Linked DNA regions of Mytilus edulis. The protein of the gene in region 1 binds, or shares a complex with, the protein of each later gene. Links are inferred from orthologs where the notes say so. Each region holds a gene or a part of one and is shown in the gene's direction. Other genes may lie near its edges. The genes, in order: armadillo repeat-containing protein 7-like, small nuclear ribonucleoprotein G-like, probable small nuclear ribonucleoprotein Sm D1 and pre-mRNA-splicing factor ATP-dependent RNA helicase DHX16-like.

Evidence for each region.
Region 2: armadillo repeat-containing protein 7-like (region 1) and small nuclear ribonucleoprotein G-like share a complex: the UniProt entries of both Homo sapiens proteins name them as parts of the minor spliceosome. The link is inferred for Mytilus edulis from reciprocal best matches to the Homo sapiens genes ARMC7 and SNRPG.
Region 3: armadillo repeat-containing protein 7-like (region 1) and probable small nuclear ribonucleoprotein Sm D1 share a complex: the UniProt entries of both Homo sapiens proteins name them as parts of the minor spliceosome. The link is inferred for Mytilus edulis from reciprocal best matches to the Homo sapiens genes ARMC7 and SNRPD1.
Region 4: armadillo repeat-containing protein 7-like (region 1) and pre-mRNA-splicing factor ATP-dependent RNA helicase DHX16-like share a complex: the UniProt entries of both Homo sapiens proteins name them as parts of the minor spliceosome. The link is inferred for Mytilus edulis from reciprocal best matches to the Homo sapiens genes ARMC7 and DHX16.

What each region holds. Positions count from the first base shown.
Region 1 is NC_092344.1:113,819,630-113,826,556, forward strand, and holds the start of armadillo repeat-containing protein 7-like, read left to right. Parts: upstream 1-3,910; 5' UTR 3,911-3,988; exon of another isoform or gene 3,989-4,004; intron 4,005-4,016; exon of another isoform or gene 4,017-4,050; intron 4,051-6,927. Other genes in the region: 5'-AMP-activated protein kinase catalytic subunit alpha-2-like, read right to left, coding at 1-25, 2,437-2,578, 3,599-3,695. UniProt on the Homo sapiens protein: As a component of the minor spliceosome, involved in the splicing of U12-type introns in pre-mRNAs.
Region 2 is NC_092347.1:25,799,519-25,807,313, reverse strand, and holds the start of small nuclear ribonucleoprotein G-like, read left to right. Parts: upstream 1-4,781; 5' UTR 4,782-4,899; coding exon 4,900-4,931; intron 4,932-7,484; coding exon 7,485-7,507; intron 7,508-7,795. Other genes in the region: nuclear transcription factor Y subunit alpha-like, read right to left, coding at 1-105. UniProt on the Homo sapiens protein: Plays a role in pre-mRNA splicing as a core component of the spliceosomal U1, U2, U4 and U5 small nuclear ribonucleoproteins (snRNPs), the building blocks of the spliceosome.
Region 3 is NC_092348.1:3,032,598-3,040,340, forward strand, and holds the start of probable small nuclear ribonucleoprotein Sm D1, read left to right. Parts: upstream 1-4,731; 5' UTR 4,732-4,853; coding exon 4,854-4,867; intron 4,868-6,058; coding exon 6,059-6,135; intron 6,136-6,645; coding exon 6,646-6,846; intron 6,847-7,455; coding exon 7,456-7,559; 3' UTR 7,560-7,743. UniProt on the Homo sapiens protein: Plays a role in pre-mRNA splicing as a core component of the spliceosomal U1, U2, U4 and U5 small nuclear ribonucleoproteins (snRNPs), the building blocks of the spliceosome.
Region 4 is NC_092345.1:3,144,563-3,151,794, forward strand, and holds the start of pre-mRNA-splicing factor ATP-dependent RNA helicase DHX16-like, read left to right. Parts: upstream 1-4,229; 5' UTR 4,230-4,362; coding exon 4,363-4,560; intron 4,561-6,025; coding exon 6,026-6,160; intron 6,161-6,619; coding exon 6,620-6,699; intron 6,700-7,232. UniProt on the Homo sapiens protein: Required for pre-mRNA splicing as a component of the spliceosome. Contributes to pre-mRNA splicing after spliceosome formation and prior to the first transesterification reaction.

The sequences.
Region 1 (6,927 bases):
TGTAGGGGTACTCATCACTTGATACCTGAGGTTTTATTACGCAACAAAAATTAACCATCAAATTAAATACAACCAAAATTGGAGTCAAATCAGTATTTTTCTAATTTGACAAGAAAGTGTTTGAATAAAAAAATTTATCTACAAGTTTTAAATGAAAACTTTCCTGAATAAAATTAAGATTTAACATAAGAAGAAAGGCATGTAAAAGGATTTTAAGTCGACTTGAAAAACATAGTACACAAATACATGTATGTAAAAAAGTGTCTATTTCATATATATCATGTATATCTACATGTATAATTAACATGAATAAAATTGATACATATAAAACTTACATTTATTAACTAAATTTCTTATTATTCTCTCTGTAAATTAAAGTCTAAGACTCTATGGTCTCATAAAATACAACACAAAACAATTCAAGCGATTCCATCAAAGTAAGATTGTCTCAATGTCAAAGGCATCTAGGTAAAATTAATATTTAATTGGACTATCATATACATGTAGACAGGATAAGACAACTGATATACAAATGTCTAATTTTTAAATGGTCCCACTTTTGAAATTTTTCTCTGTATTTGCTTTAAACTAGCTAACTAAGTTGAATGATATCACCAAATATTTTGACCGAATAAATCCATGTACATGTATCAACTATCAAGTCATGTTTTTTTTATGATTGTTGCTCTTAATAGAAATTAAACAGAGATTTCAGAAATATATCTATAAATAGGTATTTGGAAGGCATCCCAAAATGGCAATAAGATTATCCCACATACCGGACTATTTCTTCCCACAAAATTTTGACATTTTACCATGATCATCATCAAAATTCAAAATACTTTACATGTACTTGGCTAAACAATTCATTACATCAACAAAGACTGGACTAAAATATTTGTTTTATATTCTAGGCAAACATGAATCAGACCAAAAATAGATATACCTTTTAATTCTAAAATATTTTTTTCTTAAATAATGTAACCAGATGACCTTGACACTTGAGCTTTGATTGATATCAAATAAGGTTGAAAAACAGAGCCAAAGTTTGGTGAAGACAGGAAAAGGAGAATCTACACTACTCACAATCATTCCAATGAAGTTACTTATAGATTGTTATTTGGATTTTTTTCAGGTATTTTGTACAGAGATGAGTTAACTGTAAGCATGGTAAGATATTCTCAATAATTAAAACAAGATGGCTGACAGGAACAGTGATCATATCTAAAAATAATATATATTTTTTTGTAACATATTTCAAAATGCAAAAAATGTACTGAAATTCAGTGAAACAATATAGATCAACAAAGCAAATAAAATGGACATTAAGTCTTTTCAAATTAAAGAACAGAGAAGTGGAGTTAGTTTGAAGAGATAAAATTGAATCAAGAGACTAACCATACACAGTAAAGGAAACATTACAATGTTGACATCAGCAATCATATAAAATTATGCTATTTCAAACAACTTTTTTCTATATCTAAGGTAAGAATGGATCACTATTAAGAATCCTGACCAACTTTAATGCTCTAAATTCTGCTTCCAGTTAAAAAAAAATCTTATTCATCTACTACATGTACATATATGTAACATATTTGGTGAAATAAACTCCACCTACTATCTTAGAAATGTGTAAATAAAATATAATATTGTCATCATAATTGATAATTACAATGTATATATATATATATATGTAAGTAGTCAAGACAATTTTGTAATTTATGGATCCAAAATGTGCAAACTTTCAAATCTTGCAACAAAATCAAATTAATATAATATCCTTTTTCAGAGAAGACAGATTTGAATCATCCAAGTCAGAGTGGATTCTATTAAGTGAATGGATTTCTATAAACATGATAAAAGAGGAAACAAGAAATATAGATAACTAAAGTACATGTATGTATCACATACATACAAAACATGTATATACACATGAACAAGAAATGGAGATAACTAAAGTATGAAACAAATGTATATACACTTAAACAAGATTTATTACATTGGTTATAGAGAAGTATAATCATTTTAATCAAGTAAAAATTGACTTTTGACATGTCACCAATAGGTGTTTTCTGGACATTGTTAAAGACTTTGCATCAAAACAAATTAAAAGGCATAGAAAAAGATATAATTGTTCTAAATATAAGAATTTGTAAACTGAATTTACATTAAAAGCCAATACAATAAAAAAGAAATAATAATCCAAGAATTCACAAATATCCTTAAACATTTAACTCTTGATGACCAATCAACACTGAATTTTGTGAATTTATGTTTTGTTCGAATTCTGATACTTTTCTAATATTTTTGACATTCAAATTCTCAGATTACCGGTATACATGTATATACATATACATGTATAAAAATTACAATGAATATATTCTAAAATTAAAAGTTAATTTAAGAATATAATATCATACAATGTTGGAGACTTACAATTTAATAATGTGTGGATGTCTAAACAGCTTGAGGTTTTGTATTTCTCTTTTGATCTTAGACACAACATCTAAACTTTTTATTTTGTTTCTGTTTAAAATCTTTACAGCCACCTTATGACTGGTGATATAATGTGTCGCAACTGAAAAGAAAACAAAGCATACTATCATGTGTGGTACAATGTATGAGGTATAAATTACAATGTCAATGAATGCGAAGCAACTGAAATCGACTCATTTTGTTACATGTACATTCATTGTTGTCAATATAATCACAATTGTATTTTTAATGTCATACAAGTGAGAGGTTTGGCTAGTTATACAACCAGATTTAATCTACCATTCATGTACATATGGAAATGGCTTTACCAAGTCCAGAATGTAACAGTTATGTTCTATTTGTTTGATGTGGTTAAGCTTTTGAATTTGCCATTAAATAAAGGACTTAGGTTCCTTTGTTTTTGAAACACTTGACACTTACAGGAATTTGTCTAAATGACTGGTTTTTTTCCAGACCAGACTAAATAGCCATAAGGTGTGTTAGATGACCAGTAAGGATTTGGCTGAGTAATGAAGTTGAAGTTAAGTGACTGTCAGACACAGCTGCAGTTAAGTCCAAACCATTATGACATCTTGAACATGTTGAAAGGCTTTTTTAAATTTGTGCTTTATCTTCAGGTAAGGGAGCTACCATTTGATTTTTAGGGGGGAGGGGGAGGAGCTAGGTCACGTAGGTGGAAAAATTCTTGTCCTGCTTTTATTTATTTATTTCTAGTTATTATAATCTCTGTCCTACATGTACCTTTTCATATTTCACATTAAGCCTTTCCTCAATGAATTTCTTTTTTGCATAATTTTTTCAATAAAAAAAAAATCATAGACTTAGTCCCCATTCACAGGTAATTCCTGCCTCATATTAGGGAAGAAGTGAGGATGCCCCAAAACGCACTAATGGCTTTCACAAATATCAACTTTTTAAAAGATGTGAAACAAACTAAGAATAACTCGTAGGTTAATTATCATTTAGACAAGGTTCCAGTTATTTTTAATAGGAATTCTGTGTATACAAATTATGTCAATGACCTTCACCTTCTGTATGCCATATTTATAACATTGGTTGACCTTTTTTTATGGCAATGTCTGTAATAAACAAAAACACATACTTTTGACCTTTCCAAATGTCCCAGTTCCTAGTGTTTCACCAAGAATGTAGTGGCCAATCTTCACCTGACCAGCAGTGGCTGGACTTTTCTCCGCCATTGCAGTTTTTGTGTGAAGCTGTTTGACTGTTTCCTCCGTCGACTGAAGTGTTTACTTGCAGATGGTGCTACTTAAGTTGTAGAGGAATTCTTATATATCTGTTCATAAGATCAACATCCAACGTTTCATTATCAGCTCGATTTAATTTCCTATCAGTCTTGTAAGGCTCGTCTTGTTGGGTCCTTTCAGTTTGTCAACAATATGTCACGTGATTTGTAAAACTTTCGGAAGTCTCTGGACTTTACGTAAACTCAGATTTCCAATGTTTATTTCCGGTTAAATAGAAAGTAAAAGTAAGACTATATTCATCTGAAAAAGGCAAATTTCAACAAAATCTTTTACATTGTAACAAACTGTTGGTTAAATTTTTTACAAAAGCTTTATTGAATTCGGTTATTGAAATAGTGGATACCACATCTCCTTATTTTCATTATTTGTTATGAGGCAGGCATTCTGTAATCTGTATAATAAATTCTGCCACTGCCAGTCAAGGCACACCTCCAATTATAGCTGGAGTGACATCCACCACCACGAATATATATATAATTATCGGTCGTCCCACTGTCAATATCACTCTGTTCAGCTCATAATATTATTCCGTATCATGTCTTTGTGACGTCAAATACGTTGACTCGGCCTTAATAACTTTGACCCGGACATATCAGCGACGTCATAATGTTTGAACCGACATTAATAACTTTGACCCGAACTTATCAAGTCATCTTTTGTGTGCTGGTGAAACAAAGAAAACACTTCCGAAACACGCAAATATAGCCCGATAAATCGATTATCAGATTATCTGCATATTTATATTGTAAAATATCAGCTGCTTGACATTATATGAAGGCTACGCTCACTCGACAAAAAGCTTCATATTATGTCTCGCAGCTGATATTTTACGATATCAACATGCAGATAACCTGATAATCGGTACATATCACACAAATAATGGTTCCATCCACTGGAATATTATATACACAAATATCAATTTATACTATACGCAATAGGCAATTTTAAAATCTAAAATTATCTAAATAAGAAGTGATAATAATTAATTTTACCTTAATCCAAATAATTATGACGTCTGGCAAGGCTAGGAAGGCGTCCCAGAAAAAAATTAAAATAGCCTTGCTAGACGTATGAAGGCGTCCCAGAAAAAAATTTAAATAGCATTGCCAGACGTCATGTAACACGAGGACGAAGTCCACTATTACAGTAGAAAATTCAATAGAAAAAAAAAAGAAAAAAAAAATCGGGAAAATTTCCCGAATTTTTCATTGTACTAATGAACTCAAAATCGTTCAATTTTTTTTTGTCGCGTTTTTTAATTTCCGGATTTGCGCAGAACACATAACTCTACTTCCTTTTTCCGGTCTTGTTGTCGTGAGACTTTGATTAGTCTAGTAAAATATAGGAACTCAATGAACACAATACCAATATTTCATTTTTAATCATTCTTTGTCTTTCAAATTGGTATGAATAAACGTTACCTGATGCATTGCATTTCTTTGTTTACATTGAACATGACGTCATAACTTAAATAACGTCACAAGTAAAATCCCTAACAACAGAACCAAAATCGGAAACGTTACGGTATTTCCGTTTCTTTTTGTAACAAATATTTAAGTTACAAAAAAATTAATTTAAACAAACTTCGTCCCCATTCACAGGTAATGCCTGCCTCATATTAATTATGACGTTAAAATAGCCTTGCCAGACATCATAATTATTTTGACTAGCATTACCTGTAAATGGGGACGAAGTCTGTATTCATGTTTTTTAAATCAAACATGTTAAAAAGAGAAACAGAAATACTGCAACGTTTCCGATTTTGGTTCTGTTGTTAGGGATTTTAGTTGTGATGTTATTTAAGTTATGATGTCATATTCAATGTAAACAAAGAAACGCTGTCATCAGATAACGTTCTTTTTTATAAAAAAACAATTTTTAGAAATGAATTAGTATTGAGTTCCTTTCTTAGACTGATAAATATACATTTTATTCAAAGTCTCATGCAAACAAGACCAGAAACGGAAGTAGATTTCTGCGCAGATCCGCAAAGGAGTAGGGGCAATAAGGCCCTTATTTGGCCCAAAATTTACTGCAAATTTAAAAGTTATCATACATATTTTTAAATTACTGAAAAGTATCTCAGGTAGAAGGAATTCAGAAAAACAAAATAGTTTTGGACATTGAACAAGTTATCATGGCAACAAGTCATGCCTTAATTTGCATATTTTGTAAAATTTTGTGATTTTCCTTGTTTTTCATCAAATTTTTAAGTATATTTTCGATTGGAAAAGTATGTGCGCACCCAAGAAACAACTTTATATTTGGTGAGATTTTGTCAATAGTAATAAAGCTTCAGTTAAATTATTTTGTTGTTTCTTGGCTGCGCACAATGTTTCCACAACAGAAATAAAGATGAAAAACTGCATAAATTCTGAATTTTCATCATTTTTGTGAAAACAGTACATATTATGACGTAATTGTGACGTCATCACATAAGAATCTTAATGTTTTTCATTTATGTTTCTTGACCCTATGCAATTCTAAAGATTATGTGCCAATTTGAAAAAGTTATCAAAAATTTTATTTTCTTGGGCCAAAACCAGGCCTTAATGCCCCTACTCCTTCAAAAACGCGACAACAAAAATTTTGAACGATTTTGAGTTCTTTGTGCAATGAAAAATTTGCGATTTTTTTTTTTTTTTTTTTTTTTTTTTAATTTTCTACTGAAATAGGGGACTATGTCCCCATATCACAGAGTTTCACTATCACTATCAGGCATGTGCTATCTGCTATAGATCTGTCAGATCAGCTTCTAGTCTACTCCAAATAATAATGACATCTTGCAATTCTATTTTATTTTTTTCTTGGACGCCTTCCTTTAAAAAGCCTTGCAAGACGTTATAATTATTTGGACTACTTTTAGTTTAAAAGTTTATGAAGTCTTGAAATGTGTTGCAACCATGTTTTGCATATTTGTTTTTTGTTCAATTTTTACATAAATTAGGCTGTTATTTTTATTGTTTGAATTATTTTACATTGTAATTTCGGGGCATTTTATAGCTGACTATGCGGTATGGGCTTTGCTCATAGTTGAAGGCCGTTAGGTGACCTGTAGTTGTTAATTTCTGTGTTGGGCTCTTGTGGAGAGTTGTCTAATTGGCAATCATACCACATCTTCTTTTTTATATTGAAAGTCTATTTTATTTTTTTGCTTTTATTG
Region 2 (7,795 bases), on another chromosome or scaffold:
AATGTATTGAATTCCTGCTTGTTGTTGGTCATCAGGCATGGCTACTGTTACCGTCTGTTGGTTATCTGTATTAAATACTGTGTAAGTTTGGTCACCTTCTGTCATCTGAAAGAATGACAAGCAGAATCTGTAACTTCAACATGTTCAAGTTGTATGTAAACAGTATGGCATGAAAAATTCTGAAGTTCAAAAGTCTGAGTAAAATCTTTTAATATTTCATATTTGATAGCTTAACCATTTGGTCAATACACTTCTTACGGTAATCAGAGACCTATAAAGCTACATACATGTTTTAACATATCAGGAATTAGGCATTGCTTACAATGTCAGCTTATATTATCAGTTATGTTTTTTTCCAGAGAAAATAACTCTTATTATCAAAGATATTTTAACCAATCCATTTTGAAGAAAATCAATAATAATCTTAAATAAATAAATTATGCAGAATGTGCCCCTGCTTGCATATAATGTTATAAAGGGACATAACTCAAGAACTGTAAAAGTGATAATACCCAAATTTGTACTTGATTTGAGTTTTGTGATAATAAGCATTGTGTTTACATTTTATAACAATTAATTAAGGTAAACCTAAGTTAGAAAACAAAAACAAAAAATCCTGCAATTTTTCCATTTGCAAAAGAAGCAGAACAGGAGAACGATAAAAGTGACGCCTCCAAATTTCAAACTTGATCTGTGTTTTGTGGTAATTATCATTGTGCAAAGTATTATAATATTTGTTTGAGGCAAACTAAAGTTAGAGAATGGAAACGATAAATTTAGCAATTTTTCCATTTAGTATACATCATAATAAAACAATGAAAATAACAACAAATATAGTGATGCCCATATGTTGTTTATTTTTGGAGGCATAATGTATGCAACATTATTCAAAATAAAATATCTATAGCCCAAAATTCCATCTTTCATATTCAGATGAAATCCTTTCAGAAATACAATGAAATATGAAGCAACAAATTATCATCCTGTCCAGTAACTCAAGATAAATCCCCTTTAATATTTGGTCAAAAACTTTCCCTGGGGTAAGACTGGGGATAACACATCAACAACATTACTAGCAAAGCCAGCAGAAGCCATGATTTCCTCCACAAAACCTACAAATCGGCTATAACCATCAAAGAGCAAGCATTCAAAACTCTAGTAACGCCCCAACTAGAATACACCACAACCATATTGGACCCATATCATCAAAATCATATTGACCAAATTGAAAAAGTTCAAATGAGGGCTGCAAGATACGTCACCAAGCACCACAGAAACAGATCAAGTGTCCCAGACATGATGAACAAATTGGGTTGGAAAAGTCTGAGCCTCCAAGATTGACGCAGAGAGGTCAGGCTCGCAATGATGTACAAGATCGTCAACGACAAAGTAGCCATCAGCAAAGACATGTACCTCCAAAGACAAACTAGAATATCAAAACGTACACAACAGAAACTACATGGATACATGGTGCAACGAACCAACGACTGCAGGAAATGGTCCCTCTGTGTGAACACCACAAAAGACTGGAACAAGCTTCCCCCGGAGATCGACACAGCACAGTCATTTGAGACTTTCAAATCTGAAATGACCTACCTATCTTGTTTTTAACCATGCAGAACCAATTTGCCAGTATATTCTGAAAGTTGAATGCAGGCAGTATGTGGAAGAAGACAATATTGTGTAGGATTAGTGAAATACTGAATGTTTGGTTAAAACTACTGTTTTGAAAAATCGAAAAGTTCAAGTCCTGTTTTGGTCTCAATATGGAAAAGAACGGATATGGGTTTATAAATACCCTTAATGACACGAAGACATCACATATTGATCATTAAATGTTACACAAAATTAAATCTAGAGCTGACGACACCAACTTCAATAGAGCAGGAACTTCCCACTTACAGACAGCCATCTCTGGATGGTCTCAAACAAAACAAGAACAACTGAACCCAAAAGCATGTGGCAAAATGTTCAAATATCTTATTTAAAACTAAAAGGTTTAACCAAGAACATATATGTCCCTGGTTTAATAACACACCAATGACTTGAATGGATCCTTTAAATATAAAAACAACTTGCGTCCTCTATGTTGGAAAAATCGACCTGCGACCTGTACTTTTGTCTTAAAAACGACTGCGCGACCTAACGACGAATTTAAAAGTGACCTTGCGACCTGAGGGGGGTACCCTGTGGGAGCCTCCAGTACAGTCAAATCAGCACCTAGTCAATTTGGCACCTGGTTAAATCAGCACCTGATATAGTCATTTCGGCACCCATGAAAGATATGTTTAACATATGTTTTGTTCAGTATTTTAAGCAAAAAGTTGTATTCACAGTATTGACTCATTGACATTTTTGGAGGGTTTCTGTATGTATTTTTTTTGTTCAACTTAATTAGTATTCAAAGTTTTCAACATTTGAGCATTTTGCATGATATTTGGTAAAATGCATCGACAGTATACTGTTATTTAATAATCAATGTTTAAAAGTCACCAATATTTGCTAATATTAAATTTCAAGTGTTATTCAGTCATTATTAGTGTTATTCAGTCATTCGAGGTACCGGTGCTGATTCGACTTGTAGTGAAGTTGGAATCCGGGTCCGTTCGCGCCCACTCATGTTCACCCCCTTTCACTTTCGCACCCTACATGTTCGCGCCCAATTTTAATTGGTTTTGTGTAGCTTTGTAATCAAGTTTTGGCAAGTGTATTCTTATATTTGTTGTCATTGTCTCAAAATAAAGTGAGACAGCATTTTTTTTTTGTGTTGAATATATCTATCATGTTTTGGATAGTGTATTGTTAAAAATAATAAATAATCCTTTCTAAATAAAGTGGGATTCTGTCAACGTTTTATTTTGTGTTGAATAACTCTTAATCATGTTTTGGTTAGTGTATTGCCATAACTTTATTTCATTGACTTGTTTCAAAATAAAGTGAGATTCTGACTACGATTTTTTTTTGTGTGTTGAAATTTTTTTATCATGTTATGGTTATAAAAGTGTATTGCTATATTTTATTGTTTAAGATCGAAGGGACCAAGCTGTTAAAAACAATTATCTTTTGTGTTTTTCATTTAAAATCTTGAATGTTTTACTTACACCAAAGCAATTAATAACAACAATCATGATTTTCCAATTATTCTACTGGAATTTGAATTATAATTGGGCGCGAACGTGTAAAGTGCGAACGAACCTTGGGTGCGAACATGCGAGGTGCGAACGTGTAGGGTGCGAAAGTGTATTGGGCGCGAACGAACCTGATACCGTGAAGTTGTACCCTTTTTCATGGATTCTACCCACTGATATTTATTTGGCTTTTGGCATAGGATCAAAGGAAGCAGGACAAATCGCCCCCTGGCAAAACGCCCCACTTTTTCACCAACTCGCCCCACCATTAAAAAAATCAAAAAAATCGCCCCAACCTGGTTAACCAACTCGCCCCACTTTAAAAAAAAATCGCCTCACTTGTGAAAAGGGTTAAATCCAGTTAATTTTCCCCTGTCAACTCGCCCCACTTATTGAAAAAAGGGAAAAATCTACTTCTATATATGTAATTTTCAGGTCTACCAACTAGCCGCACTTAAATGAAGACTTATTTTGATTTTTGTAATCTACACAGAATACAAAAAAAAAAAACGAAATTTATTAAACTTTTTTAACATTTTTAAAATATAATTGCAATTACATTTTTGTATCATTATTGGAGAATAACTTTATACTTGTAAGCTTAGTTATTTGTATAACAATTGAAAAGAAACCTGTTAATTGTATCATAATCATACTATTGATGCGTGATTAACATTTATATATAACTTTATTGCAAAAACAGAGTTTTTAACAGCAATTTGATTTTATAGCACTTCACTTTGGTGTTTAAAGGTAATGACGTGGGCAGGGACAAAGATATACAACGGGATTGCATCTTTTTTATATGTGGTTTATCTATTTGTCATGAGTGGGGCTGAAAGTTGACAGACCGTATTTCAGCGGGATTTTAACCCTTTTCATAAGGGGAGCATGTTATCATAACTATTTGCAATGGGAGTTTACCCTTTTCATAAGTGGGGCGAGTTGGTAAACAAGAGTGGGGCGTTTTTTTAGAAAGTGGGGCGAGTTTGTGAAAAAGTGGGGCGATTAGGTGTGGGGCTATTTGCCAGTGGGGCGATTTGTCATGGATTCGGACCAAAAGAGCTAACTATGATCTGCTGGATATTTTTATAATGACGTCTACGACATAAAAAAGGATTTGTGCCCTTATACGACTGGAAACTGTTGATGCAAAAAATAAAAGAAACCACTATAACAAATAAAACAGCATCCAAAAACGTCATAAGTCATTGTAGTTGAAGTTATTGTGTATGGCAACTCATTTTCAAATTAATGTCTATGCAATCCGGTGCATAACACAATAAAGGAAACTTTTGTATTGCTCACTTTTTTTGCTTTGATGTAATTTTCTACGCAAAAATTGTATATTTTGGATTTTTCTTCAAAATTTCCTTGTCCAATGGCGCTGATTTATTGTGCATCAAATTTCATGACGTAGTCAATTAATGTGGATTGTGATAAAACATGTATTTTTTTCCGCAAAAAGACAAGTTTAAAAACAAAATCTAAATGTATTGAAAAGAATATTAGTCACAGAAAAGGGTACGCAATAAGGCATAAAGGTTGTTATATCTCCCTGATTCAGACTACTTTGTAGTAATTTTCAAATGGACTATAAATCCTTAATTTTCAGCATGTGAAAAGAGAGAATCCGGAAATTCTTAAATATAGTATTGCCGGTATCGACTCTGTGTTTTATCGTTCGACTGTCGTTTCCGGAACGCTTTTTCCGCCATTATCTATTTTTGTTGTTTGCCGGCTCTGCCGACAATAATCCTTGTTAATCACAATGAGTAAGGCTCATCCTCCAGAATTGAAAAAGTAAGTCACGACTGAAATTATTTGTATGTGTTTCCAGGACATTTAAAGACCCAAATTACAAGACATTTCGTGATTTGTGCCTCTATAATTTTCAAAAGAAATTATTTGCCTTCTTTCACTTCTTCTTCTTCTTCTTTCAGTACAGAGTCGGACTCTTCTTGAGTGTATAAATGACTCTTGCTCGTGAAATCATGAGGCCTTCCCTCCTCACTTAATAAAAACTATTTACAGGAAAATTATTTACAAATAAAACTATGTACATCTGGGGTCAAAGGAGATCTAGGTGTGTGAAGCTCCTGTCAAGGCCTCTGGCAGGATGGTAAGGCTGGCCTTGAACTCTTCTAGTGTAGCTGCTGTTGTGGCTTTTTCCGGTAGAGTGTTCCATTCCCTGGTTGATCTTGGGAAGAAGGAGTACCTGTATTGGTCTTTTAGAGTGCGCTGTTGGTGTATGCGGTGGCCTCCTCTGGTCCTTGAATCTCCGGGTTTGTAATAATTAGAGGGGTCAATATCCACCAATCTATTGCGGATCTTGTATGCCATGGTGAGTCGGTCTTTGCAGCGGCGATCTTTAAGGATCTTTTAGGATACTATACTCATAGGGTTATATACTAGTGCATTTATTCATGTCACTTACACAGCCTTATTTATAATAAGACCCTTAAACTTTACAGATTGGGTAAAAGTCGTGAAAAGGGAGGTTATATTTTTTTGTTTTTATGGCAGTTTTCTGGTGTTGATAAAAGTTTAAATTTTTAACCTAGTTTTATTATTGTTTCCAGGGACTTCCCTTTTCTATTTCAATTAAGACATTAAATTTACAAAAGAACACGTTTGAAATGCATCAGTAGTATCTAAATAAGTGAAGCCTCGTTTAAACTTTTTTCTAAAACTAAATAACACAAATCCGCACATATATAGTCCAATGTATATAAGTATGAGAGACTACATGTAAATTTTATCTATTACATGCCTACATGGCCAAAGTGGTACAACTACAAGACCGCACTGGCTTCATTGCAGAAACATCTTGTAAAAAAACCCAGACAAATCTTAACTTGAAAACATGACGTAATGATAAACAAGAAAAGATAACTCTAATAATATCCTCGATCTCCTATGTTGGAAGAGAGGACCGCCTACACAAAAAGGAAAACACATGTTGGTTTGGTTATCTTATTTCTAAAAGAGGGATGAAAGATACCAAAGGGACAGTCAAACTCATAAATCTAAAACAAACTGACAACGCCATGGCTAAAAATGGAAAAAAAACCCAGAAAAACAATAGTACACATGACAACATAGAAAACTAAAGAATAAACAATACAAACCCCACCAAAAACTAGGGGTGATCTCAGGTGTTCTGGAAGGGTAAGCAGATCCTGCTCCACATGTGGCACCCGTCGTGTTGCTTATGTGATTACAAATCCAGAAAATAGTCTAATTCGGTAGGTCACATTCATGAAAGGGAAGGGGATTGTAGTTACGACATAAGGAACATATCTGATATCATTTGTGAAATGGTTATTCCATACCGGTCAACCAACTTGTGATGGTGTCCGTAAAATTTATGAAGGGATGATTTCAACTTCACCATTTGGAACTCTTGGTTTAATAGCTTCCTTGTGAGCAGTAACCCTCTCAAGAAAATCATGATAGGAAATGCAAGCTTGGGAATATCGTATCAATTGGGAGGTATATACCCCGTATGCAGGTGCTGCTGGAATGTTGCTACTTAGAAATGGAAAGTTCACAATTGGAAAGCTGAAATCATCTCTTTTGTCGTAAAGTTTTGTTTTCAACCGACCCTCATTGTCAATTTCTAGATGTAAGTCAAGATATGAAGCCGACTTCATTCACTTATTTCTAAGTGAGAATCAAGTGTTACAACAATAATTCTAACAATATGGGAAGGATTATTATTATGTTGTACTAAATTTCAATTAAATGTCTTTCATTCTAAAAGTCATTAAAACAAAATAAAATACAAAAAAACAAACCAACGTGTTTAACTATAAGCAGTCAGAGCTCAGACATAAATAATCATATTAAAATGCATTTTTGACTCACTGTAAGTCGGGGGGGATAAAAATGACTTGTTTATGTCTGAGCTCTGAGTGATGAGAGTTATCTTTTCTTGTTTTGTGTGACATCACAAGAAGATTCAATCTGGGCAATGGCTGAACATTATACATGTAGGTGGAAAATGAATACAAATGGAAATAATCTATGCCAATATGGTATGCACTACCAAAATAGTTTAAAAAAACCATAAGGACCTAAGAGCTACGGTTCCACAGCTAGGGTTAACTGTGAATTAAACTATGCACCAAAATAAATTGGTTTTGAGCATTCTTGGTCTGTTTGTCACCCTCTGAGACTTGCTGATGAATTGGTATCCAAAATACAGATGGTCCAATTTTAAGCTGCTCGGTATGAAACAAGTCTTGAATGAAAACAGTTTATCAGTCATATTTTTGATGATGTTTGCAAATACCTTTGTACACAGAATTTAAACTTGTAAATGTATAATTATATGATGTTCCTTTATTTCAGGTTCATGGAAAAGAGAGTTTGCTGTAAGTAGCCAACAAGATTTATGACTTAAAAATTTGATGCTTGCATACAATTGTTTATAACTACCTCTAGCTATAAATCAAGGTTTATTGGCCATTGTAACATGTCTGTAATCTCCAGGGTTCTCAAAAACTCTGGTTTTATGAGTATTGCTAATCTCTGTATCATGCATTCCGTCAGAGACCAGATTTTTATTTCTGACTCCCAACTTTTACTGTGCATTTATATACCTAACCTACTGAATGTACATTGACATACATCAGTAGTTAACTGATCATGAAGGGATGAAA
Region 3 (7,743 bases), on another chromosome or scaffold:
GTGGCAATGAGACGTACGCTTTTAGAATTTTGGAATTATCTACTGTAACCATGGTTGCAGCACAAATGTTCAAAATTTCCAAAAAAAATTAAGTGCTGCAAACTGGATGAAACTTTACAGGAATAGTGACTGACATGTGCGGAGTTCCATTTTGAAGTTGAAATTTCCAAAATGGCCGCCGTAACCATGGAAACAGCAAAAATATCAAAATTTTCAAAATGCTTCAAACTTAATGAAATTTTGCAAAAATGATGACTTGCATGTGTAGATGCACTCTTTGACTTTGAAATTTTCAAAATGGCTGCCGCTCGCCTGGCAATAGGGGGACGAGGGTGCCATCCGTTATTGCTAGCAATTACAAATCTAGTTATTATTATTATTCCATCTATTTTGTCCGGCAGTTTTCTCGGAGCAAATGGAACCAATCTTAATGATAGTTAACTATAATGAGGAACACAAAATTCCAGGTTGCAGTAGGTCTTAAGACCATAAAAATGGCTGCCGTTACCATGGAAACGGAACAATTGTGAAACTGAAATTCCAGTTTTTGGTTTTAATGAATTATTTGGAGTTGCTTTAACTTAGAATCAATATATTTTGATACAATGTAGGTGTCGGGCATATACTGGTTTTAGATGATTTTGGCAATCATTGGAACTATCATGTTGCCATGGAAACTACACCAAAAATTTCCAAAATATCAAAATGCTCCAAATTTAATAAAACTCCACAGTAACGATGAGCGACATTGGAAGATGTGCAATTTGGCGTTGGAATTTCAAAAATGTCTGCCGTTACCATGGAAACAAGTCAAAAATGGTGAAAATGCTTCAAAAACCTTAAAGTGGCATTTACTTTCTTAAAATGGTAGGTCAAATCCATTGAAACTTTGATGGTATATATATGTTCCCTCCCATGTACCAATGTGGTATTTGCCATTAGAAATTTGGAATGGTATCTGTTACCATAGAAACCAGCCAAAATGTCAAAATTTTCAAAAATTTCAAAATGCTCCAAAATTGATGAAACTTACTATATTTGTTGACTGTCAAGTCTACATGAGACTTTTGAAGTTGGAATTTCCAAAATGGCCACCGTTGCCATGGAAACTGCAGAAATGTCAAATATTTTCAAAATGCTCCAAACTTAATGAAACTTAATATTATTGTCAACTGGCATGTATAAATGAGACTTTTGACTTCGGAATTTTCAAAATGGCTGCCGTTGCCATGGAAACAGAAGAAATGTGAAACTTTTGACAATGCTCAAAATGTACTGAAAATTTACAGAAAGATATATCGCAATGCGTTGATCTGCATTCACTGTTAAATTGTTTTCAAATGGTTGCCGCTTAGTGGCAATAGGGGAAGGGTGACATCCGCTATTGCTTGCAATGGCAATTCTAGTTTTCTTTTCTTTTTATCAATAGCGTTTGTAGTTTATTTCAACTTATTAGGCTTTATTTGTGATGACTTTTAAACTACCAATACTAAAGTCAATCTAAAGTATCTGCAATTCTCAGAACTAAATGTAAAAGCCATACCAGTGCATGGAGAATTAAAGTTTACGTGATATTGAGGTACCTCTTGGTGACAGTACTACACGGAGCATTTCACGCATGTTATCATCATCCGGCAACTGAAATCCAACGATATTTTATAGATAATCAAATACCATGGGCCGCGTTCAATATCGTAGCTGCTACGTAGTATATTTTGATTATTGAATGTGTAGCTATAGACTAGCTGCTACATATATATTGATAGCATGCAGCTACATATATACGTAGCCGCTACGTAGCTGCTACGATATTGAACTCAACCCTGGCATATTACTTAGCAAGGAAAGATCATGTGAGCGCTGGCTAAATTCATTACTTAGCAGATGAACTCTTGTAATGATGAACACATGGGACTAGATTTAAAAGTTCGGCTTTTCCAAAGCTTTGTATATAGCCACGTCCCTGACAATCTCGTGTTTAATTAGCAAATGCGACTGTTAATTGCTGTCAAAAGATGAAAAGATATGAAGTGGGTAGTCAGCTTCCAATCTGAAAATACACTTTCTTTCTTAAAATAAGCAACATCGACAATTTAATCAGTAAAATATAGATCTCTGATTACGATTCTCATATGTAGTTTAACGTAATCAGATATCGATATTTTAATTAGATCGCAACTGCGAATTTTTAGAAGTACCTTAAATAAAAGTCGAGTTTTCCATTTATTCCTGCTATATGCTATAACTGCTCTCCTTAGGTAGTTGCATCATATAGATCATGTAAAGGCCAGGTAATTCCAAATAATAAATAAAGAACTGCGCCATTCATGTGCGCATGATGATACGTCGCCTGTCGGTAAATAGCTCTACAGAGCTCATGTTTACCTTGTTGAATTGTTTATATCATGCCCGACTCTAAATAAAATTTACTTACCCCCCCCCTTTTATAAAAGTTCTGGATCTGCCACTGTTACTTACGGTGTTTCAACGAATACAGTTCTATTTCTCCTCAATGTCATAAAAGAAATTTATAATAAAATAAAAAAAACATAAAGGGAGCATTTCTTGATAAATATAAACCAGTCACCAAAGTTTTATGAAAACTGTTCGAAGCTTTTTTCAGTTGTTGTCCGAAAACTGGAAAATCACCTTTTTTGCGAATAAAATCCCTTTACTTGGGAACATAAAATCTAAAATGATTAAAATCGAATGGAAGATTACGTCAATGGATATAAAGTTTCATGAAAATTGGTTATTTAAAGCGGTTTTGAGTTATTGACCCATATTCTGACTAAGAACTGACGGACATACGGACAACAGTATACCATTTTACGTCCTGCAAAAGAAGTTCAAAAGACAATAATAGCCTTCAGAAATATCTGGACGCCATGCAGCATTTGAATTCGACATGGTTGACACTGTTTACCCCGTTTAATGTGATGTATATATAGAGGTTCATATACACTTGCAGTCCATATTAATACACATATATATAATGTATAGGAATACATCATACATGAAGCAACATTCACATTTCAACAGCTATTAAGCCGGAGAAGTACCAATATACCAGGGGTATGTCTGCTATGTATCATTCCGCTCAGACTGGTACTAGGGACCGTTATAAACTTGCCGCATCAAGTTAACGATACAGCGGGAAGAACCTTAGTGCGATTGTTGTAACATTAAGAAGCCCTGTTAACAACTATTAGTGAAATAAATTTAAAGTATCTGAAGTTGAAAATAAAACAAAAAAAAACTTGCCGCAGTGAGGTGAGAGGGGTATATGATGCTTCTAGTTGAAGGCCTCGGTGTGACTTTGAGATGAAAACAGCAACAAGAGCGCTGTTTATTTGCTATACTGATTTTGTGTCATGGATGGATACCCCAAATCCTTTATTTTTTCTATTATTATATCATTATCTTATTCTGAACTAATAATGGACTATGATAGGATAAATAAATATCGCCATCAAATAGATCAATCCCTAACACTACATATTGCAAAACTTGTGACTTAATTAACCAAGACATGCATTGATACTAACAGGAAGAAAAGAAATTATTAAACAGTTGAACACATTGAACACCCAGACACGGATGTGAAAACACCTCTGTCACAAACAACAAAAGATACCAACGAAAGAACAGCACATATTTATATGATCTTAGATCATTTTAGGAGTTTTAGGAGATTTGATCTAGCAAGCCCAAATCCTGATACCTAAAAATTAAGGTACCGCGAGTTATCACTTAGCCTGAGAAACTAGGGCAGTGACTCATATTTTTTTCCCTTTCTTTTCTTTTCTTTTCTTTTCTTTTGTTCTCTTCTCTTTTGTTCTCTTTTCTTTTCTTGTCTTCTCTTTATGTATTACTGACACCAGTAGACTAAACTGAGAACGAGAACCACCATATAGACATCTAAGACAATGGAGTGAGTCCCCAATGGAAGAAATAATCTTTTTGTTATGGTAATTGTAGAATCAGGATTTGAAACAAAATAATACACATAAGACAATGACCGTTTTTTCTGTTTCTTTTTTGGAGTATTTTTTTGTATTCTTTTATTTTCTATTTGACAGTATTTCAAGGCTAACAATATTTTTTGTAAACTGTTCAGTTCAATTTGTCTCCACTAGTCTGGAATGTTATGACAGCTGATTCTATAATTTAAAGTACCAAGTTTCATGAATTGAAAATTTAAATAATGTTATCAAGAGGGGGGGGGGGGGGGGTTATCATGTAACCTTTTGATATTTATAAACCTGTTTTGGCCTTTTTCAAGGTGTTGTTTTAAAACTGTTATCTGAAATGAATTTAAACTGTTAACTGTTTTCAACCCACTGTGTTAATCAACATTTTTGAATTTGTTGTTTTGTTGTTAACTGTTTTTGCCAAAATTGAGATGTAGTTAACATGTTAACGGACCCCTTATTGTCCCCTTTCTTATATATGTCGCTGTTAAATTATGCCAAACACATTGGTCTCTGAATAGGCCAATTGTAAAATCATAAACTCCAATCGACTCCTTTAATGTGTGAGTGATGATTGATTAGTTCGTTATTATATATTTACATCAATCCTTACAATGGTAAGAGAAACAAGAAATGGATAGTAATTAATTCAATCTTGTCGGCTTTTTTAAAAAGCTAATATTTTGCCCAAAAGGGTAACAGGAAGGGAAAACCATTTAGTACCAGTCGCTAAAAACTTTCAGCAGGTCGTTGTTATGTTTTATCTCAAGACCAAAATAGGCACTCGGTCAAGCGTTTAGTTCATACGTAAACAAGACGAGCCGGTTGCCGCCATTATTAATATTTTTTCCTGTACATGGTATACAAATCCATGTAATCATGAAGCTTGTGAGGTAATAGCAATTCCAATAATTGGAATTTATATAGATGAATGAAGGGAAGGTGCAATAATATCGTTATTTTGTGGATTGTTGCAAACATTCATTAAGAAAACTCCAATTAAAATGACGAGTGCCCCACGCTAAGTCTTTATCAAATATATTGAACAATTTATATGGAATTCATCCCTCTGTGACATAGTTTCTGATATGACGGAACGCAGTATTTTCTGCACTGGAAGCCCTTTCCATTAGATGCATAAATTCACCTCTTCAGTCTAGAATGTTTGCATATTTTTAAACCTGTTTTCAGCTATGATACGAGAAAAATATATTTGACAGAGGCGCTTCTTCCCCCATTTTTGTTGCTTCAATCTTGTCTTGATTGACAAACAATTTACAAGTTAATTCAATGTACAAGATATATACATGTATCTGATTTTGAATCCTTTTCCTGATCCGGAGCCCTCCAAGCACAGGCACTCGTATATACCTTTATATAACACAAGTAGTCCGAGATTACTCTGACGTCCAACGGCTGTTTTGCCAGACAAGCTGGGGCCGTGGGACGTCAGAGCTCGTCCCATATCAAAAAGTGGATATTTTCCCACCCAAAATAGATGCGCTGCTTCGTCGCTTCTGGTGCTGACTGACGGCCTTGGAATTATATAAATCGGGCATCAATCTGTTCATTTTTCATTTATCTCTTCATTTATGTAAGTTTCACTTACCTGCCAACCTTTATTTTCTCATTATTAGACAGTTTTCACAGTGACCCATCGATTTCGGCATTTTGACATTTGGTAAACATGGTATAGGCAAATCAAATACTATTAAAACAAAACAAAGGGAATTGCATGTACTTTATCAAGAGCAAAAACGGGGGAGGTCTACATGTTTAGCTATGCATGATTCTGACATCCATCCTTTGAGTTTCTGGGAATAGAATTGAAGACGTATGTTCTGTATTTGCCTTGCAGACTTCATTGACTTTTTTATAATACAGGTTGGGGAAAATACTCATAAAATTGGTATTGGGTACCAACATATATTGACCAATGTTACTGGAATTAAATAAGCTGACATCAGGTACATACTGTTATATAAATTTGAAAAGCCAAACATGTAAAACATTTCGCAAAATAAAGTAGAGCTTTAATTTGTGAGATGATCATGAGTCTTGACAATTTTGATTTTGTTTTACAGATTTTTGATGAAATTGTCCCACGAGACAGTCACTATTGAACTAAAGAATGGAACACAGGTCCATGGAACAGTAACAGGTATTGTCTAATTGCAAAACTTCGATAAAAAATCCCTGCCTTGGATACTTTGCAACAGCACTGTACCTATTTTTTTTGCAGATGGAGACCATTATTCAGAGCAAGTTACAAATTGTACTGTATTTTGGTTAATGTTTTAGTCGGATATTGAGTTGTCAGATTTCACTAAAAAGATAACTGGTTATAAACCCATTTTGCATACTATGCTTTTAACTTTTATATGTCATTTATGGTATCTTATGTTTAAAATTGTGCTCTTTTAATGACTGTATGTGTGTACAAATGTATATATTTTGTTATTCACTGGATTTAAAACCTGAGACAGTAGAGCTTGTGTTTATATACTATTAGTTTATTGAATATCAAATACATATTATTTAATTTGGTCTTATTCATAATACGAACAATAGTCACATCGAATAAAGCTTATATAAAATTCCTTTATGACTAAAAAAACAATGCACAATTATATAAATGAATTTTAACATTGAAAGATGATTATATTTGTAGGGGTTGATGTCAGTATGAATACCCATTTGAAATCTGTAAAGATGACAGTTAAAAACAAAGACCCAGTACAGCTGGACACACTTAGTATCCGTGGTAACAATATCCGATATTACATCTTACCTGACAGTTTGCCACTTGACACATTATTGATTGACGACACACCTAAAGGACGTGGTGGATTTAGAGGTGGAAGGGATAGGGGTAAGTAATCAACATTTTATGTTTTTTAGGTCCATCACTTTCACCATTAAATAGGGAAAATGGTCAATAGACAGCAACTTACAAATTAATATCTCTGAAAGTCACAAATAAATAGTTGAAAATCGTACAAACACACAAAAAAACTCTTGTACTAGTTTCTTTTTATGAAATACATTAGTACTATTATTAATAATAACAGTGAGGTTGAAACACTTTTCAGACAGTGACAATTATTATTTATTAGTATGGTAGAAATCATACTAGCAGTTGTCATGGTGGTAAAAGTTTTGATATGGTTTGCAATTCCCACAAAGTTATTAAAATATACCTGTAAATAAAAAAAACGTTTGTTATCATCGAATTATAAAAAATTGAAATTGGGATTGTTATAATACATTATAAGGTTAATATAAAGAGTTTTCCAATAAGCGTCAAAACAGGATCATTGAAATTAGATAGAAGGTTAATTAATTTTGTGAAATCTACAATGTGGTTTGTGAACTTAATGCTTTTTCAATTGGCTCTCTTGATTATTTGCTACCTTGTTACAATATGGTTTTGAACATTGTAATGCTGTCACATTTGACTCAAATTATATTTTTATTTCAGGTGGCCGAGGAGGTAGAGGAGGACGTGGTGGTCGTGGCGGTAGAGGTGGTGGTGGTGGTGGAATGAGAGGTCGTGGACGAGGGCCACCAAGAGGAAGACGATAAACTCTTTTATGTGTAAAATCAAAGACAAAGTGAAAGTAGAAAGGAAATCTACAGCTATATATTGTTTTTTGACCAACAGCAAAAAATTATGTTGTAACTTTCTTTTATTCTTTTGTTATAATATTCCTGATAACATGCAGACATGAAGAAACACTATTCTTTTGTGAAATTTTTTCAAGTATTC
Region 4 (7,232 bases), on another chromosome or scaffold:
TATATGAATAAAACTCCTTTAAAAGTAAATGAATTTTAAGCATAAGGTAATGAAAATAAAAAACTATAACATGAACATAAAAAAAAAAAATTTGAGATTTTTTTTTCTTTCTTTAATTTCATACATAAAAAATGGTCATTTGAAAAATGAAATTAGGTGCCAGGAGATAGCGAGAATGCAGGATTTTTCTCTAAATATATATATGCCAGAGCTTCTGGCTTGAGCGGCCCCAGACCCCCTGCCGTAAGGCACCAAGCTTACAGCTTGGTGGGCGTCCGGCTTCGCCGGACACATGTTACAGCCGCCTATAATTTTAATTGAGCCTTCTACTTACTTCAATTTCAAGATAGCCCTGCTTGAATGAAATTACAATTATATGCTCACCACTGGGCTTCCATACTGATTGTTCTTCTTGTGTTATTTTTAGAATGAACTTTTTCCACGAAAATAGGTGACGTACATGTACTTGGCATCATATGCCAATTTGTGTACACTAGAAATGTAGGTCATATCAAATAAACTAGCTAACGGAAAGAATCAAACTAATTTATTATTTTAATGAAGTTCTAAGGTAACATTATCAACAAAAAGTTTAACCGCATTTTGTTTGAATAGTTTAACCGCATTTTGTTTGAATAGCCTTATGTCCACGAATATAGGTGACACTAGGCCTACCGTCAGTAAATATTTCAAAGCAATTTTCTGTAATTGTCATGAGGAAAACAAAGGATTTCAATGTTGTGATGTCGTAAGAGACAAAATAAATTAGCCTTTCAAGACGTCAAAAAAATTTTTAAAGGCCGAATTTTAAACTGCGGAAAAGGGGGACACATTTATCCTACTGACAAGTACTGAAGTAGACTTTGTCGCTCTGTTGAGTGATGACCGAGGAATTGTTTAAAAATTCAACTTATATTTTACAAAAATTCACACTCACAGCAAGTTATTCATTGGTCATTTCAAGGATGACAACATTCACTGTAGACTAATTTCTATTTTCAATATATATACTAACCAGTCACCATGCGCGAGCTCTTTTCACAATTTAAGGAATGTCTGACTACCAACTGAAATGTTGTAAAAAATATTGTACACTTTCTTTCGGCGAATTTATATTTAAGGAAAAAAAATGTGTTTGAATATAACTATAGTCTCATTTAGGTTTAAATGGCATATTACATTTAATCAAATCCAAATTATTTTAATTTCTGAATGTTGGAAAAATAAATCAAACCCACCTTAAAATTCGGTACCTCGAATTACCGAATAACAGTGTTATTATCCGAATAACTCATGTAATTACCGAATAACTCTTCAAATATCAATATTAACACATTTGAGTGACTTTTAAGCATATATTATTGAATAAAATTATAATAGAAGTGTATTTTATAACCTAAAAATAAAAAAAAAGTTGCAGGTAAGTTAATATTGATCATTATAAAATTATGGATATCGGTGTGTACTTCCAAGATGGCGACCAAGGAAAACGTAAGAAATGAAGAAAAGAAAGATTGCATATATGCCTTCAAAGGAAAACGCTATGAAAATATAGTATTAAATAATTTACTGTATATACAGAGAATTGTCTAATAATTGTTTTTCAGAAAGGATTTGAAAATTTAACCAGTACATCAAAGCAATGCAGTTACTCCAATCACTAATTACTTTTCATAACAATTTACTCAACATTAAATAAAATGTAATTAAGAATTTTCACATATTCAATTCAAATCTAATAAAAAAAATTATTATAATTGATTGTTTTAATAAAAACAAAGCTTCTGAATGGATGATTTTTATGTTTATTCTAATAAAATTTTCTCAAAACTAAATATAAGATTTTCATTGGCAAATATAAATGTTTTTACAAGTCACTTTAATTTTGTATAAAAAGCCATGAATACATGTGTGCTGTCTTCCATTTTCAAAATGGCTTTATATCCGTGTGTTCAATGTGATGAAGAATGTGTTGATTGCACCATTCAATGCAGTTGTTGTGATCGTTGGGTTCACAGTGCTTGTGTCCCAATGGATGATGCATTGTTATTGGCCTGGTCAGATGTGTCTCTAAAGTTCCTTTGTAAGGACTGTTGCTTTACAGACAACAAGTATGACATGGCCAAGGCGTTAGAAAGGTAAGTAATTTTCATACATACCTTTTATTATAAGCTATACAAATGCGAAATTGGGTTTTTTATATTATTAATAGAGAGTGAAACATGGTACAAGAAAAATAAAATAAAATATTTAATTTCAAAGAAGACAACCTTTCACCTAGTTTATTATATTTCATTTATTTCTTATTTCATTTAAAATGTATTTAATTTACTTAATTTAAATTACTAAAAAATCAGAATTAAAAATAATAAAATAATACTCAATTAATATTCTTCTAAAATTAGTATTTACGTTTTTTTTATTGCTACTTTTATTTATTTTCATACATTGAATAATTTGAAAGTGATAATGAGTTAATTAGTTCCAATAAACAAAATAATCATTACCTCACACTTCTGTTAGATTGTTAATTGGGTTGTTGTTTACTGACACGTGCCCATTACATAATTAATCATTAAGAGATAATGAAATTATATTACAGTATGGACACTCTGCATTAAACAGGCTTGTGACTGTCTTGGTATACCAAGGCTGCATTACCAACACCAATAATTATAATAATGAAAAATAGAACACAAATAAATATTTACAACTATATACAATATGTACATCCTATGTTAGTTTTCTGTCAAAGGGTAATAATGTTCAATGTTTCACCAATAATTTTTGATTATTTAAAATAAAAAATTATTAAAAAAAGATATTTTAATAAAGTTAATTTGGGTTTTCCTGTTAAAAAAAGCTTTCTTCTGGCAAATTCGAATTTGTAAATTATAAAATATGTAAGAACTTTTGGATTATTTTAGTCATTCGATGTTAAAAAAAACCCTCTTCTTAAACAAAATACATTGCACGTGGAGTCATTGAGAAAATAGTTCAGTATTGTTTCGCATGTTTTCAGGTTGAAATTCTAAATAAAGTATTTCCGCGGACTATGACAGATAAGCCCGTGCCTTGTGCAGGATATCTTAGTAGTTATAAATTTTTTACAATAAATTCTAAATAAAGTATTTCCGCGGACTATGACAGATAAGCCCGTGCCTTGTGCAGGATATCTTAGTAGTTATAAATTTTTTACAATAAATTCTAAATAAAGTATTTCCGCGGACTATGACAGATAAGCCCGTGCCTTGTGCAGGATATCTTAGTAGTTATAAATTTTTTACAATAAATTCTAAATAAAGTATTTCCGCGGACTATGACAGATAAGCCCGTGCCTTGTGCAGGATATCTTAGTAGTTATAAATTTTTTACAATAAATTCTAAATAAATTATTTCCGCGGACTATGACAGATAAGCCCGTGCCTTGTGCAGGATATCTTAGTAGTTATAAATTTTTTACAATAAATTCTAAATAAAGTATTTCCGCGGACTATGACAGATAAGCCCGTGCCTTGTGCAGGATATCTTAGTAGTTATAATTTTTTTACAATAAATTCTAAATAAATTATTTCCGCGGACTATGACAGATAAGCCCGTGCCTTGTGCAGGATATCTTAGTAGTTATAATTTTTTTACAATTAATTCTAAATAAAGTATTTCCGCGGACTATGACAGATAAGCCCGTGCTTTGTGCAGGATATCTTAATAGTTGTAATTTTATAGATTTAAAGGCTTAGTTAACATCCATTTCTAAATCACAAATATAAAAATATGATAAAGATAATATTTTTTTAATAACTAAAATTAAAACAAAAACTAATTTAAATAGTTTACTATTCCATATTTTATTTTAAAAAATGCCCACCCTCACATTGTTCATTGCCGTGACGTGGCGTGAGGGCTCCACTTTGGTGGTCTAAGATGAACACGTTGAGGGATTGTATGCAATCTTTCTTTTCTTCATTTCTTACGTTTTCCTTGGTCGCCATCTTGGAAGTACACACCGATATCCATAATTTTATAATGATCAATATTAACTTACCTGCAACTTTTTTTTTATTTTTAGGTTATAAAATACACTTCTATTATAATTTTATTCAATAATATATGTTTAAAAGTCACTTAAATGTGTTAATATTGATATTTGAAGAGTTATTCGGTAATTACATGAGTTATTCGGATAATAACACTGTTATTCGGTAATTCGTGTTACCCCCTTAAAATTTGCAGTTACGTCCCTTGTCATGCACAAAACGTCACGAAAACGTGTGGAATCGTTTTCAATATGTCAGCCTCCAGTACAAACAAATAAAGTTCATGATTTCTCATAATATTCATCGAAGACATTCGTAGTTAGCAATGTCATCCCTTGATACATGGGTCAGCGACAAACTGCATGACATCTTAGGAATATCGGACAAATACATCTCACAATATTTGATTGGTTTGTGTAAAAAAGCAACAAGCTCAGATGGATTCATTGATAACCTCAGAGAAACTGAAGCAGTTGACATTAATCCACAAGTTATCCAATTTGCGAAGGAGTTATGGGAAAGGGTAACTTAAATAGTCTTGTAGATAGAATTATTCCAAGGCTTTGTTGGACACCTATAGCATAGGTTTCATTCGAATGTACTTTTTTTTAAAATGCCCCTCTGCGATGCTTTCGAGACAAGACAGCCCCACAGTGACACTTCCATGAATCATGACGTCCATAGGATGCATCGACCATAAAGCAAAACCTACAAATAACACATTGTCCATACTTTTTAGTTTAACTGTAGAGCATGATTCTACAGACTCTAATCTGTAACGGGTTTGCCCCAAATGTTGCCACACACCACAGATTTTCAGGGCTCAAGTCCAGGAGGAGACTATGTGACTTTGCCAACAAAATCATGTTCTCCTGGGTTATAATTGGTGCCCAATTAAAGAATCCCTCTGTCAACATATATTTGTTCCGCCTAGCAGAAGTTCCAATGGAAACTTTGTTATAAACATTGTCATAATATCTATTCCTGTTGGAACAAAGATTCTAAACAATTTATTCCGTTAGGAACATATACTGTGATTTTTATTCTTGTGGAAATAATATTCCAGAATATTTTTTCCTTTTGGAACTTATATTATGCAGGAACTTCTATTCCGTGACACCACAGTAGTTAGATAGAATATTTAGCTAGTATATTTTGTTATAAGAGTCATAATGATATGATGACTCCTGAGGTTTAGAAAGCGTGATTGGACAGCTTCCCTTAATACATATGGCAGATACACTGTAGCTAGTTGCTATAAATAATTCACATTTATATATTATATGCTATATATATATATATAATGTGTATTCTAAGTGAATTGCATATAAAAAACATAACAAATAATGTAAATACAGCATATATAATTTACCATCTACTTGTATATATCACAATACTTTTTAGAATTTAAATAAAATTTATTTGCGAAAAAAAGCTATTGATGGTGTGTCTTATCAAAGTATGGCTCTGTTGTCTTTTCATGGTATGGCTGACACAGCATGGATGTCATGTCTTGCATTGTTGACTCCTTTATCCCAGGACGTTGTTGACCTTATCTTCAAGTATAAATTGAATTTTATTATTGAATAGCGTTTAGTTTTATATATTCAAACAAACAAACAAATAAATATTTTGATTGATATTATTATTCACATATAGGTATTTATGAAGTTTTTGCTGATTAATGATAATCTGAAACAATAATGTGTTTGGATATAAAAAAGATTAATCTTTCACCTGTTTTTTTTTTTAAATGCAATTGCCATTGACATGATTAATGCTGAAATATTATTCTCCAACAGGTCAAGACTTTGTAATATATTACACAAAAAACATGTATCTATTCAAAAATCCTTAAAAAAAACCCAAATACTATGTAGTCTGTGTGTTATTGCTTGGAGTACTATTGTGTATTTAATATATGTAGATATGTTCTACAAAATGTCCAAAGGCGAAAAAAAGGATAAGTTCTTAATCAATATTTTCAGGCACCAAGAAAAGCTGTAACAGAAAAAGTAGGAAGAGTTTTAGAAAGGCAATCATTAGAGCTACAAAAGAAGAACCAGAGTTATAAACTTGTATCGTCTGGAAGTGAGGAGGATGAATATTCTGTCCAGCCAAAGGTAGACAACTCTATCCTAAAAATATATATAGAAAAGGGTGGTGTACATTAAGATTTGAATTAGTTTACAGAATCATGAATACTGTGGATTCATTTATTTTCGTGGGTACCTATTTTCATTGATTAAGAAAAAAATGTATAATTGTGGATATTTAATTTCGTGGTTTTGCCAACGTCTGCATACAAGCCAACAGAAAATTTGTCATTCGTTGAACATTTGATTTCGTGGTTCACCTGTACCAATGAAATCCATGAAAACTTGTATCCAATGAATAATAATGAATCCACAGTAAAAACATTTGGGCAAGCTATGAGACAGCAACTAAACAAACACAAACCAAATGAAATCGACTAGATGTCAACATATGTTTGTTTACAGGTGTAAATACAATATGTTATAATTTTATTACTTTTCAAGCTGAAGTTTGAGCAATGCTAGAAACACATTAATTTCTTTCAGAGACGGAAGGCAGAAAAAAGACAGAAGCATTTACGTAAGAAGCAGGAATCTTCAGATGAAAGTGATGCAAATCCAGATAGGTAGGAGTCTAGTCAAACCAAAAAATTACACTTCCATTCCTAAATGCAAATTTTTAAGCTGATACAGAAAACTAAAAAACAAACATGTACAATTTGTATAAACATTACAAATCAACAGTATACACTTTTTTTCTGGCTATGGGTATGAGAACAATAAACTTGCTATTAACTTGTAAATAAGTGTTTTATTATGCAGACAATTTTTTAGCACATAAATGATGCTTTTATTGCTGTTCTGTCATTTGGAAAAAGCTATAAAGTTCTCAAACAACAAATCCCCCTCTCGAATCAATCTGCCTTTAAATTGAAGAAAAATGTAAGATATTTCAAGCAGCAACTAAACACAAATACATATACAAGCCTTCAATAATTAGCAGAAACCATGCCCAGTCCTTCAACAGAAAACTATTTTTTGTAAAATTTTTGTAATTTTTTTTAATGGGGTTATTATTACCTTCAAGATGGTTTTAATAACATTAGGAAGGCTGCGTAAATGTCTTTTTGTGTCATTTGTTTCAAAAATCAAAGTTAAA